Linked DNA regions of Caenorhabditis elegans. The protein of the gene in region 2 interacts with the protein of the main gene of each other region in a pairwise test. Each region holds a gene or a part of one and is shown on either strand. Other genes may lie near its edges.

Region 1 (5,379 bases), on a different chromosome or scaffold from region 2:
TCAAAACACAAAAACCCAACAAAATTTTCGTTTTTCGATTTTCAGTGCCCTCGAATTTTTTCGATTTATTTTCCTGATTTTTGAGTCAAACCGAACAAAACCGAAAAAACTAAAACAAGTTCGGTTTTTCAGAAAACCGGACGACCTTACGTACCAATGCTAACTCGATTAACAAGGGGCGAATCGGCACGAAAGAGCTGAAGTGGCGTCCGAATAGTTTGATGGGTGATTTTTGGAGATCTTGGGACTGACATCGAAGAAGGTGCCGTCTCATCGCATGGAAGAATTCTTGTGACATATTGAGAAACTGCTGAGAACAGAATTGAATCTTTTGCAGGCTCAGTTGGCTGAAAATTCAAAAGGATTCAGAATCAAAATTATGTAAAACAATATACCGCAGTTGACACTTCGCATTGATGTAGAATACTGTCCCAAAGTTCAGTACAAAGCTGATCATCCTCCAGGACGGTTTCGAAGAAAACTGAATTTGAGTTTATCAGTGATTGGATGTGACAATAAGGAGAATCTGGATAATGTTGTTGTATTAGAGGTGGGAGGATGGAGCACAAATCGATGTGGGGATTCTTGAAGATTTTCTGAAATGCTCCATATTGATAATTTTAATTTTGAAATAACTTATAAGTACATGAATAATCATTTTTGAAATAGGAACATTCTTGTCTGTGGAAATGATATTCGAACTGATCTCCCTACAAATTGAAACTACATCGTCCATCTGTGAAAATTCTGTTGGTGTCTGCCGCTGCTGGAACATCTCTGAAATTATATATAGAATCGACAACATTTTAAGTTTTTGAGAATACTAAAATAAGAGCGATCGGGAAAAATAACCATGAATAAAAACATTAAAATTTTTGGAAAAAATGTGTATTAAAAAAAAATATTTGAATAGATAAACATTACAAGTATGCAATAAATAAATACGATTATAATTTAAAATTTGAAGTGACTTAGGGAACATTGTTTTCTAGAAGTTATAATTTAACGTCTGTACACGACTTTTTCTCTTCTTCTGTCCAATTTCTTCTGTTTCTTGTCATCCATTTCATCTGAGTCTGATCCAGCGGTCAACCATGGTAGAAGGAATCCAGCAACAAATTTGTATGTGGCTGCTCCAGGAAAGGCGAGGAGCAAAAGGAATCCGTATGTAGAATAGAGTGAGATGATCTGGGAACAGAGTAAATTATACATTTGAAGATAGAATATTTCATTTTTGAACTATTAATGCGCACTTTCCCACACTTTTTTTTTGCAAAAACTAACTTGAATAATGACTGTCAGAATAATGGCGTCTTTACAGTATTCTCCGAATGCTTCTGGATCGTTCAAATCGGCACCAGCATCCAAAACATGTCCTTTATCGTCAAGCTTTGCTTCTAAAATCATAATTTCAGATTAATACAAAAAATTAATGGGTAAGACAAACTTACTAGCTAAAGATTTCATGAAAAGAATAGCAAAGATCTGCACGAGCGCTGAGACAGCAAAAAATACATAATCGGTGGAAGAGCACTGGCTCAGAAACATACACGATGAATAGTAGATTGCCTAAAACAATTTTTAAAAAATCGTTGAAATGTGAAATTACAAATGTTTACCATGCTAATCGTGCTAGCCACACTATAAGTGGTGACAGTCTTCTGATTCTCCTCATAGATCTCTTTCTGCCCTTTTGTTGCTTGTTTCACCATCTGTATTTAATTTTTATATTTTTGAGGTCATTGCTGAAAAAGTCAAAGGTATTGTAAAGGTTGAAAAACCACTAATAATAACGAATTAAACAAAATTTTCTCGATATCTCGGAAAGAAAATGATAAAAACTTCATTCTTTAGTTTGAACCGATTTGCAAACTAGAAGTTTGAAATTGTGCGAAATAGTAAAACGACACGAAACTGTGTGGGGAAAGAAACCGATTTAGAAACATGGAAAAAGCCGGGTTGAAATAGATATTTAAGCAATTTGGTGAAAATTCAGTTCTTGAAAAATTGTTCAATACGGGGACACATTTTGATAGGAAAGTGGACGAATTGATATCTAATTGTTGTGCAAGTCAAGTCGGAAGATCTCGTTTCCGATGAAGTAGGAACCCTGATTGTTTGGACGGAGAATAAAGACTTGCGAGAAGGGATTGATTGGATCTTCGTCGGTCTGAATAATTTTTTTTCGGTTTTTTTGAAAACTACTTCTACTTACCTTGAGCTGACCAAGAACCATCACTTGAATTGATCCATCATACAGAGGCTGAGAGTCAATCACAGTGATCGCTCGTTGAATTTTTGTGAATCCGAGAGTCTAAAAGTGTTTCGTTATTGAACTCTCGTACTTTTGCACAAACCGTGAACTTTTGGAGAATTCCGTCACGGCCTTTCGCTTGCTGTCCTTCAAAAGTCATGTAAGAGTTTTCTGGGTCGTACAAATCGGAGAGTCCTGAAATTCACTAAGTTTATTGTTTTTTTCAGACGAAATACCTTGAGCACGACTCATTCCATCGCCAACATCGAACTTTGAGTAGTAATGTTGAATGAAGGCCTTTGCAACACTTTCGTAATCAGGATTGAAGCTCATTCCTTTAAAAACGACAAATTGGGAAAAATAATTGAAAAAGAGTAAAAATAAATAAGATAGGTAGGAAAAAGCAACGAAGAATACGATAATTTTCGAAACAATTGAATTATATATTTACTCGAGATGGGTTGTCTCAATAAATTTTGAAAATTAGTTGTTAGATGAGCAGTGGTCTTGCTCGCATTGAGAAAAATAAACAGCAACCAAATTGTTTTTTTTTAGTTTTTAAAGTTTAAACCCTCGGCCTCATGTTTCAGTTTTCGAAAGAACAGTATTGTCTTCCTGCGTTTTGTTCGTTCTTGGGAAGTTTAATTAAAAATAATTATGAATTATTTGATTCCTCACAAGAGAAAACCGATTAAAAAAAATAAAAATGCCTAAATAAATTGGAAAATCAGAATAAAATGGCAAGGTGCCAGCATCGCGCGCACATTTTGTAGCATAATCCAGCGGAGCGCGATTACTGCACAGAAAGCGAGAGAGTGTGTAAACGAGAGAGAACACGTTATGAGCAGAGAAATCGCCTTGTCGTCACTCTTTTTGTTGAAGAGGCGCAGAGAAAAAAGAGTTGGTTGGCTCTGTTTTTATGTCTCTTTGAGCTCGCCAAAATGGAAAACAGAGCTGGAAAAGCAACAAAATAACGACAAAACCACTGAAATTATGTTCCTCTTTTGTTGTTGCTCCATTTTTTATTTCTTTCCATTCTACCAATTGAATAAGAAGTTAAACTTTATTCTTACTCCGTAATGTTGGCATTTCAAAAATCAATTTTCTGTAATTTATAGAAACTTGAAATAATTTTCCATCTCTGCGCATCCTCATGCCTTAGCGAACACCATATATGTATGTTCTTTCACTCTTCCCTTTTCGGCACCTGACCAGTCTTTTGAAGCCAACGTTTTCTGAAAATAAAGAACCGTTACTATTATATTTTCACATCATCCAGAACTGAAATGATATCAATTTTCGAGAGCTCATTACATCAAACTCATCCAGTCACATTTATGGTTACCTTGGTAACAGTTCATTGACAAAATTAATGCAAGCAATTCCGAACTCATTACATACTGCTTCTCACATGATTATCAAAATTCTATGAGCGATACATATACTCAGTTAGTTTTCAAATGTAGATTTTTGTAATTGAAAGGAAAATAAGTAAGCCAAACATTTTAAAACTAAATTGTATACCATTTTGCTGACTGAATTTGAGCAAGCTTTAAAACTCCCAAATTTTTTTCTAAAAATGGAAGAAAATTTATGTGAACCTCTAACTATGTGTCGATTTACCCAGCTTGTGTAATAGTTCGAGAATCAAAATTTTTTTAAAGTTTTTGGTCTTGATTTTTGACAGTATTAATTACATCTTTCTCAAAAGGAAAATCCCATCCAAGATAAAACATTTTAGCCTGTAAAAGTTGTGAAATCGCCTTAGAAGAATATGTGAGCTTTTTTCAAAAATCTCAGTCACATTTTGGAAAACTGCCAGATTTTCTAAAGATTTTATTTTTAGTAATTCCGAGCATCTTGCAGGTTCATACAACGTTCAAATACAAATTATTGGAACGTAGTTCAAATATAAAACTTGTAGAAAAAGCAACGTAATTGTCACTGAATACGAAAACGTATAGCAAATTTTGAAAATGTTAACTATGATGTTCGCCAATTTGACCATATGAGTGATTTAATTTAAACCTTTAATTAAAATTTTCATGAATGTGGCCGAGTTTTTTCACATTCGCGGCCACGCAACGCAGAAATATGTACATGGGTACAGTAACCCCTCCTGTCGAGTTAAATATACTCTTATAGGAGAGAGCTCTTAACTATTCACATGTACGAAAAATAATAATATTTGCCAATTTTCTCGCTCTCAAAATTCCATTTGAAAGAGAGAAAAAACTGTTCTCGATACACGAAGAAACATGCGATATATGTTAATCATAAAACCTTCTAACTTTTTATGTCAGTTTCTATTCTCTTCTCGATTCTCTTTACTTACGAATTCTCTTTCTTCTTCTACCCTTCATCTGTTTTGCTCGTTGTGCAATTGTCAGGAGACATTTAATCCGAGTTAATCAAGAATTTTCGAAATTTATCTGAATCCGATTTTGTTTCTCTTCAAAGTCAGAAGAAATCATAAAAATAATATAAAAGAGGAAGAGGATTATACAAATTTAGAAACATTATTCATTCTTTTTAATCATGATATCTCAAAGGATGTTGTTTACTTCAACTTTTGAAAGGATTTTATAGATAAATTGTTATGATTATTTACTTGTTTTGTTTCTTCCTCCAGTATTTAATCTGTGGTCACTTCGTGGTCTTCAAGGCTTTAGGTTCAGCTCATTTTGGTTGTTTAATAGTAAGTCATATGATACGAAGATTCACAGAATGATTTGATAATAATAATAATACGAAATCTCTTTTTCTATAATATTCTCAGAATGTCATACTTCTATAGAATTTATAAATACATTATTACTGTTTTGAAAACCTTTTTTTCCTAATCTATTCGCCGTCAATTTGGCGTTCTTCTAACATTCAGTATTCGAAATCAATGTTCAAAATTTGCTTAGAGAACACCCCAAAATTAGGTTCCGTCCATATCTTGGCTTTTTTCGCCGCCAGATTCAGAAAAAAACTGATTTTCTGTGAGTTCTATTCTATTTTTTTAATTTCTTAAACAATTGGAAATGGTACAGTGTGTTATAAAATAGTTTATTTATTCTGGTTCCTCATGAGAGCACCTCAATAAAAAGTAGTGACGTACATCCATCTGAAACAAAAAT
Region 2 (8,626 bases):
CTGAAAAATAGTGAAATCTGAAATTTTCCGGTTTTCAAAAATATTTTATACCAGTGTTGTGTAGCTCTCGGCTCTCGGCGCAAGAGAGAAAAATTAGGATTTTTGCCAAAAATGTGGTGTGCACTCGCCGAGAGCCGACTTTCTTCAATAGTAACACAGGACTGTTACACAAAAACAGCAGGGAATTCAAATTTTTTATTGAAAATTTTGAGAAATGGAGTTCGAGCACAGAAAATTTGCTAACATCGAAATATTCTAGACTTAAAATTTTTTAAAGAAATTTTTGAATAGTCATTTCGAATTCTCCATCCCTCAATTAGTTTATTCCAGAAATGCCAGAGCGCTAGCTTAAAGTCCCGTCAAATTCGGTGCATTGGAGTACGGTAGACGGTGTTTGCGTATTTCCGGAGCCACAGTAACCAACTGGTTTGAAAATCAAGCTAAAACCGTGAGAAGTTATGTTGTTGAATGCAAAAATAAACGAGGAAATAGAGTTGATAATGTTTTCTAGGAATGAAAACAGATTGAGTTCTGGAAAATTGAGAAAACAATATATATTTTTACCGCACTTTCCACTACTACAGAGTTCTCGTATAATATAGTGTACTTCCGAAAACTAAAAGCTATAATTATTTGTCATAAAAAAATAATTCCTGGGAGTACGGTAGAAGCTACAGTAATCCAAAAAAAATCTTAAAAAAATGCTAGAAAATGAAAAATTTGAATTTGTTATTGTAATTTTTCGGAGGAAAAAAAAGTTAATTTGAGAACCCCCGGAAATCACTTTTTTTCGGAAAAAACCCGCTGCAAAAAACAATCTCAAAATTTTTGAAATATTTGTTTTTTCAATTTATTCGGGAGCTGCAGAGTGAGCTCATAGCTTTCCAACAGAGCGGAAATTAATTTTACTAGTCATTTTTTGCTACGTTGCGCATTATCTTTTGATTTTTTAGTGTACGTGACGCATCAATATTTGGAAATTTAACTTTTTTGAAAAAAAAAATGAAAAATCAAAGTTATTTCAAAAAATGTTTGCAAGATTTAATGATTAGGTAGCTTTAATTTCTGCATAGATTTTTAAGCCAAAAAAGTTTTTCTTTGATTTCTAGATTTCTCTAAAAATACAAAAACGCCGACTACCATATATGCCGGGACTTTTGAGTGAAAGATTTTTTTGTCATTAGAAAGTGCGAGGACCATAGGGCTTTTATGTAGGCGTTAAAATGCCTGCTACCTGATCTCCGCCTGCCCCTCGCTCAATTTCTGCACTAAATGCTTGGTGTTTATTCCACAAAGTGCGAAAGGTGGTTCTTTGGCCGCGACCGACACTATTCGGGTCGTGGTGCAAGGCAGGCAGAGGTCGCCGCAAGGCGGGCGCGGCAGGCGTTCAGGCGCCTACAGGGAAGCCCTAGCAGGCTCAAAAACTTTTTGGAATCTGGTCACTGGTTTTCGTGAAGCTTCTATGTATACATGAGGTTTTCTAAAGTCTGGAAAACAGCAAAAAAGTGTAGAAAAGTACGTGGGAAAATGTCAATTTTTTCTGAGAAAAAGGAGTTTTAACAAAATGATCTAGACCAGAGGTGGGAAAATATTTGATAGTATGTTGCGAGACTGCGAATGATTTGAAAGTTCAACAAGTGTCTAAGTTGCTAAAATTATCAAAAACTTTTACAAAAGTTAAATTTGAAGAGCTAAATTTTAAGAATGACAAATTTGGCAACTTCCAAAGTTGCCGGAAACTTCAAAAACTGGTAGTTTATTCCAAAATAGCTATGTAGCACAAAATTTCAGGAGAAGATATTTATTGGGTTGTGCAAAATCGAATTATATTTGAAAAATGTAAACAAAAAGGTCACTTGTAAGAAAATCGAATTAATAAGCATTGGAAGCAGCAACTGGAGCCGGCGTGGCCGCTGGTGGAGCATCATTGGCGGCTCCCCAAGTTGGAGCAGCAGTTGGAGCACCTCCCCAGGTTGGTGGAGCAGCTGGAGCAGCTCCCCATGATGTTGATGGAGCAGCTGGAGCAGCTCCCCATGATGTTGATGGAGCAGTATTCTCGGATTGCCAGAGGTCAACGAGTGGCTGGGAGGCTGACATTGGTGGGGACTGAGCAGCTACTGGTTGTGGCTGGACGAAGGCGTTGGCGTTGTTGTTGTAGCCAGTTGGTGGGGATTGAGCAGCATTGTTGTTGTAGGATGGGTTCTGGAAGAAAATTGAATTGCATAATAAATTTTCCCTCAAAGTTTTGAAATATGAGCTTCAAAATAACCTAAAAAACATTGAAAAATATCAAAAACTGGCAAAGTTAGGGGTTTTCAGAAATTGAAAAAAAAATTTCTTAGGAAATTTTCTTTAAAACTCAGTGGTACATAGGCTAAATTATCGATTTTTTTTTTGCAAAATTCAATAAAATCCCGATGAAATTTTCAGTTTGAGAAGATTTTTGGAGAGAATTTCAAAATTTTTGGAAAATTCGTAGCTTTTTCAGTTTTTGAGAGTTTTTGGTGATTTTTGTGTCAAATTGAAGCTAAACTTTTATATTTTTTAGGAAAAAATAATTTTTAATTTAATATCGTCTTAGAAAGGTTCAAAAACATGAAAAATTCCTCTCAAATTCCTTATTTTTCGAATTTCAAAATTTTGAGATTTTTCGAAAATCCATAGCATTCTTAGTTTTTGAGACTTTTGGATAAGTTTTGTGGCAAATTGAATATAAATTTTAAAATTTTACAAAAATTCATGTTTGGAGTGATGTATTCAGTAAAATAGCTGAAAAAAGTAGGCCTAATGCCAAATTCTCAAACTTTGGAATTTTCTAAAATTTTTCAAAAATCCAAAACTTTTTCAGTTTTTGAGATTTTTTAGTGAATTTAGTGTTAAATTAAAGCGGAAGTTTCAATTTTTATGGAAAAAACTAGTCTGAACGCTGAAAAACCATATTTTCTTCAAAACTAGACGCTTGAACTCGTCATATGGCTTAAATTTAGGGCTTCAAACTTCGAAATTCGGAGATTTTTTGAACATTCTCAACTTTCTTAGTTTTCAAGATTTTCTAGAGATTTTTGGGCCAAATTAAAGCTGAATTGTTAAATGTTGTAGTGAAATTGTTTTAGTTATATAAAAACTAAATTGTGGTAAAAACCAAAAAGAAAGTCATTGGTCCAAAATTAAAAGTTTTGTTAATTCTGACAGAAATTTGAAAATCTATAACTTTTTCAGTGTATGAGATTTTTCAGTGATTTTTTTGCCAAATTTAAAGTAAATTTTGAAATTATTTAAAAAGGATTAATTTTAAATTTTCAAAAAATTTACTGTCTTCAAAACTAGACTTTTAGACTCGTAGGCCAAAATCTTCAAATATCGAAATTCCGCGGTTTTTTGAAAATTTATAACTTCCTCATTTTTCAACATTTTTTTTGTAATTTTTGAGCCAGATTAAAGCAAAATCACTGAATTCCCAACAAAAAAAAATAGTCCTTAAAATATTCCCCACCTGAGCAGCTGGAGAGGATCTTGGAGCACAGCACACGCACTTGACATTCTTATGATATTTCTTTGGCTCCCAGTTGGCCTCTGACAAGTAGGTAGAGTCAACCTTATGGAATCTTCCACGTCCATGTTTTCCGTCCTTCTCATCAGAATCCGAATCATTATCATCATCATCATCAGCTCCTCTCTTGGATCTCTTGAATGTCTCATCATCATCATCCTTGGTAATAGCCAAGAATCCGAAGAGTTGATCGTTGGGAAGGGAAGTGTCACGACGGGCGGTCTGTTGGCAGCAGAAGTTACAGGAATCTTCATCATGGGTAGCAACTTCGGAGCACTTTACACGAACGGCACGATTAGCTGGGACGGATGGGGCTCCACCGTAGTATGGCTGTGGGTGGCGATGATGGCGGCGGACAGAGTCGACGACGAGGAGCACGGAGGCGTCGAGGTCGCATACGAAGCCTGTAAATATTTTTCATCTTAAAATTCAAAATTTCAGCTTCAATTTAACTTAAAAACTGATAAAATATCTCAAAAACTGGAAAAGTTGTAGATTTTCGAAAATTTTAGAAAAAAACCATTTTAGTTAATTTGACAAAAAAAATTCCTGACTCAAATCAGTTTGTTCTACAGAATTTTAAAAAATTGGCTCTAATTTTACAATAAATTCAATAAAAAATCTCGAAAACTAAAAAAGTTATGAATTTTCGAAAATGTTCAAAAATCTATTATATAACTTTCTCAATTTTCGAGATATTGGGATGGTTTTTGTGGTATTTTGAGGGTAAATTTTTGAATTTTCAAGAAAAATTAGTTTTCGATAAAAATTGTCGAAAAAATTTAATAGCAATAAAATTTGACTCTTCCAAAAAAAAAAGTCCAAAATTTCAAAAATTTTTGAAAATCTATAACTTTCTCAATTTTTGAGATTTTGGGATGGTTTTTGTGTCATTTTAAGGGTAAATTTTTGAATTTTGTATAAAAAATAATGGAAGCTATCGTAACCTAGGAAAAGTGTGTTTTCTACCGAATTTCAATTTCTTTCAAAATATAAAATTTAAGCTTCAATTTGGCATTAAACTCAATGAAATTTTTTGAAAATTGTAGCTTTTTTGAAATTCTGCACCAACTAGATTAAATTTAATCTAAATAAATACTACAGTAACGCAGTTAATTTTGCCAAAAAATTTAAAAAAAATTAATCTTTAATTTGACATAAAAATCAAACAATTATCTCAAAAACTGGAAAAGTTACAGGTTTTCAAACATTTTCAAAAATTCTAATTCTGATAAATTGGCCTAAGTTCTACAGATTTTTTGAAAAAAAAAAACAGTATTTTTGCAACAAAATTTGAAGAACTAGCTTAATTTTGATTTAAAAATTATTGAAAAATCTCGAAAACTGAGAAATTTATGAATTTTTCAAAATTTTTCGAAAATTTGAAAATTGACAAAACTACCTATGAATAAGTCAATTTTTTGATGATTCCCAAAAAATGTTACATTTTTGAAATAAGTTGGCTATTGCGGTTCAAACAAGTATAATCATAACTAGGTCTACGCAAATGCGCTCTATTGCCAAATTACTATAGCTCTTAAAATTTGAATTTTCACGAACTCACGATCTTGAATAAGTGGCTGCCAGTATCCTGGTCCGAATGCTGGGTATCCATATCCTCCTCCATTTCCATAACCTCCTCCTCCATACGATGGACGACCGCCGTAGCGACCAGCAGCGGCCTCTGACTTGACCTCTTCGGTGGGTGTTGGCTGCAGAAAATGTTTCAGATTATCCTAAAATTGCGGAAATCCAAAAAAACCATATACCTTTGCACCGAGGACGGCGGCCAGCGAGGCGACTGTGAGAAGAAGAACGGTTTTCATTTCTGAAAAGCGATCGAATGATGGATTTGTCGGCGGAGCCATGCTTTTATAGTTCGGGGGGAACATGGGATGGGCTCCGCCTACAGAAAAAAAAATCAAGAGGAAAAGCTTGAGGAAGATGAAAGTAGAAATGTCTGAGTTGATGGAACGGGGAAAAAAGAGGAAACATTGAAAAGATGATCGATAGATTTGCACCATATCTCGGCTAATTTTCAAGATATCAAAAAAATTGTAACTAGACAGTTATAGAAAAAGTAATAATAAATAACTTGCCAGTTGATAATTTTTTGATAAAACCAAAGGCTACGAAGATATGAACTGTTAAAGTTGATCAGTAAATTTTTCATCGATGCACCAAAAAGAAGGGAATCTGAAGCATAAATAATGCATGTAAAACCTACTGCCAAAATTTTACAATAAAACTACTCTCAATGCACCATAATCAGCATTTTTGTTCAGCAGCTCGTATCCCTCTTATGTATTTTTATAAATATCAATTTATTACAAAACTTTGTAAAACTATGTAATGCATATTTTACGTGTTTGCAATTTGCTCATTGATATGTAAATTGTTGAAATTTTATTGGCAAATCCATAGAGAAATCCATTAGGAACACTATAAATCACTCCAAAGCTTTCAATTCACAAGGAAAGGAAGTCAATCTAGTCCCGGACTTTGAATCAGGACATATGCCTTTGAAAGCTTATGTTTAGACTAGATCACCAAAAAAATTTCAGCGGCGGAACTCAACTCTGAACCCCTGAAAGCGCCATCTGAAAGTGCTCCAGTGCATTTTTTTGCTGAATTCTAGGTCAAGTAAATGGCCTTAAAAGTGGCTAGAGCGGTTAAAAATTGTTTTTGGGGGTCTTTAGGGTCAAACAAACAGTGTGGAAGCTTTTTGGAAATTTTTATTTTTTTCCAAAAATCTGAAATTTTTGCGGTGATCTAGGCTAACCATAAGCTTTCAAATGACATACGTCTCGATTCGAAGTCCGGGACTAGATTAACTTACTTTCCTTGTCAGACAAATTTTTCACATAATACGTTAATTATCTATTTCATGCCCAAATTCCAGGTATTTGCACATTTCTCCATTCTCATTCAATTGCACTTTCACCCATCACGAGTTGCTCCATATGAAATCATCTGAAATGTCTGAAATTCCAAGCCCACTCAATCATCCCATTTCTCATATAACATGTTGCAATCAGGTGGGCGGCGGCTGCGGCCGGCAGGAAAAAGAGCCCAGCGGAATGTGTGATGGATTGAGCAGCGAAGAAAAAAGAAAATGGAAAAGCTGAAAAAAATAGTCGGTCGAAAAAAAAGTGACCTAAGGATGTGTTGCAACATGTGTCTGAGATCCAGCGGGGTTCAAAGAACTAATTTGTGTATCTTTTAGCAAAGTGTATTTTGAGAAAATCAACACATTTTGAACTAGAACACTGTAGAAAAACTGTTAAGGAACATTTTTCCAGTTGATCAAGTCCGAGTGATTCACCATGTATTGGAGCCTTTTGACTTGTTGGCTCAGTTACCACAGCTGTGAGATTTAATTCCAGGTTCCGTAGCAAACATTTTTGCGCTCCAAACCTTTTTGTTTTTTATCCAACGCCTAACGTTTTCCCCTCAAACTACAATGCCGAGTTCCCGCCTCCATATCTCTGGCGGATCTCAAGTATAAAAGCGGCGAAGCATCTTGGCTCCGATCATCATCATGTTTTCCACCACTTGGATCGTCGCGTCTCTGGCACTTTGCGCCGCTGTCACCTGCGCTGTGAGCACCGAGGCTCCTGAGAAGGTAAGCGTTACTGTTGGTTCTGTTGGAACTAGGAAAAACGGACTGTAAGGTTACTGTAGCTTGATAGATAACTTGATTTAGACACGTTAAAAAGTAAAGCTGTTATAGATATTTGACTAAATCTTGATGTATTGTCAGTAGGTATAATTAGTTGTATTCAAGTTATTAAGATTAGGTTTATTCCGTATCACGTGTGCATTAGTATGTATCACGTAAGGGTTACCTATACTATATTGTGATATCCTAAATAGTAAGTCTAAATAAGATTACTTGCTAAGGTGTAACTTGAATCGGACAGAAAATTTAGAGGTAATAAGATTTCTTGATGAAATGCTATGTTGATTAAGCGTAGATATATTTAATAGAATTCAACTTATTAGGAAGGTTAGTATACATTTAACTAGTTTCTTTTACCTAGGTTCTGCTCCTGGAGTTACTGTGGCTAGATGTAGCTAGACCTTAAATATATGTACCTTAAATAGGATGTAGGTCTAATTCAAATTAAACACGTTACGAATATGGCACATTATTTAATCCGATACAAAGGTAATACTATAAGTAGGCATGTATATTGAATAGTATTCAGGGAGGTATATTAGGACTAATTAAATACTTTTGAGATTAAGTAGTAACTGTTAAATACTGAAAGTGTAATAATTGTTTAGCTTTTAATATTTACCATCATTCATTTGAAGTACTTGTTCTAGGTAGCTTACTATTAGTATAGGAACGTAATCAATACCTACCTTTGAATCTAGACTAGTTTAGAATTTAGTACTAGAAAAAAATTATCAGTAAGTATGAGCGAATAAAATTTTATGTCCAATTTTCCAGCAATCCGACGTCAAGGACGCCCCAGCTGGAGCTCACTATGGCGGTGGCTACGACAACGGACCATCCTACAACCAACCCCAATACCCAGTCTACCAGTTCCCAAACTTTGACGTCAACTATTGCTCTGTCCACGCTTCCTTCCCACTTGTCGGTCTTAGAAGTTAGTTTTAACAACTTTCCTACGGGTCCCGTTCACCTTAAAACTTCTAGAGCACCATCGCGGTCACCACAGAGGCGACCGCGTGAAGAGACAAGCCTACGGAACCCCAGCTCAAGATTCCAACTACAACAACAACCAGCAATACGATGCTCCAGCCTACGGACCATCCTTCATCCAGAGACCACGCCCGTTCGAGCGTCAGGCTTGCAGAAACACCGCCATCTACTCGCAGGAGTCGTGCCAGAACTGCTGCTCCATCTCGTCCCGTGCCGCTGGAAGCTCATCGGTTAGTGCGGGTCAGAGCTATAGCTTTGGTTTATTTTTAGACTTAGGTTTAGGCTTAGGCTTAGGTTTAGGCTTAGGCTTAGGCTAAGGCTTAGGCTTAAGCTGAGACTTAGGCTTAGGCACAAGCTTAGGCTTAAAGTTAGGCATAGGCTTAGGCTTAGGATTAGGCTTA

Evidence for each region.
Region 1: the proteins of perm-4 (region 2) and ran-4 interact in a two-hybrid assay, tested with the Caenorhabditis elegans proteins (one large-scale study listed by BioGRID).

Annotation. Positions count from the first base shown.
Region 1 is NC_003279.8:8,588,425-8,593,803, reverse strand, and holds ran-4 (putative nuclear transport factor 2), read right to left. Parts: upstream 2,590-5,379; 5' UTR 2,588-2,589; coding exon 2,491-2,587; intron 2,450-2,490; coding exon 2,358-2,449; intron 2,315-2,357; coding exon 2,216-2,314; intron 2,171-2,215; coding exon 2,057-2,170; 3' UTR 1,826-2,056; downstream 1-1,825. Other genes in the region: R05D11.9 (Sphingomyelin phosphodiesterase 4), read right to left, coding at 155-347, 396-596, 647-775; tmem-208 (Transmembrane protein 208), read right to left, coding at 1,003-1,188, 1,285-1,397, 1,452-1,569, 1,620-1,712. UniProt on the Caenorhabditis elegans protein: Facilitates protein transport into the nucleus. Could be part of a multicomponent system of cytosolic factors that assemble at the pore complex during nuclear import.
Region 2 is NC_003282.8:1,119,710-1,128,335, forward strand, and holds perm-4 (PERMeable eggshell), read right to left. Parts: upstream 5,399-8,626; 5' UTR 5,377-5,398; coding exon 5,320-5,376; intron 5,263-5,319; coding exon 5,115-5,262; intron 3,955-5,114; coding exon 3,494-3,954; intron 2,203-3,493; coding exon 1,873-2,202; 3' UTR 1,785-1,872; downstream 1-1,784. Other genes in the region: perm-2 (uncharacterized protein), read left to right, coding at 7,092-7,175, 8,010-8,169, 8,220-8,455.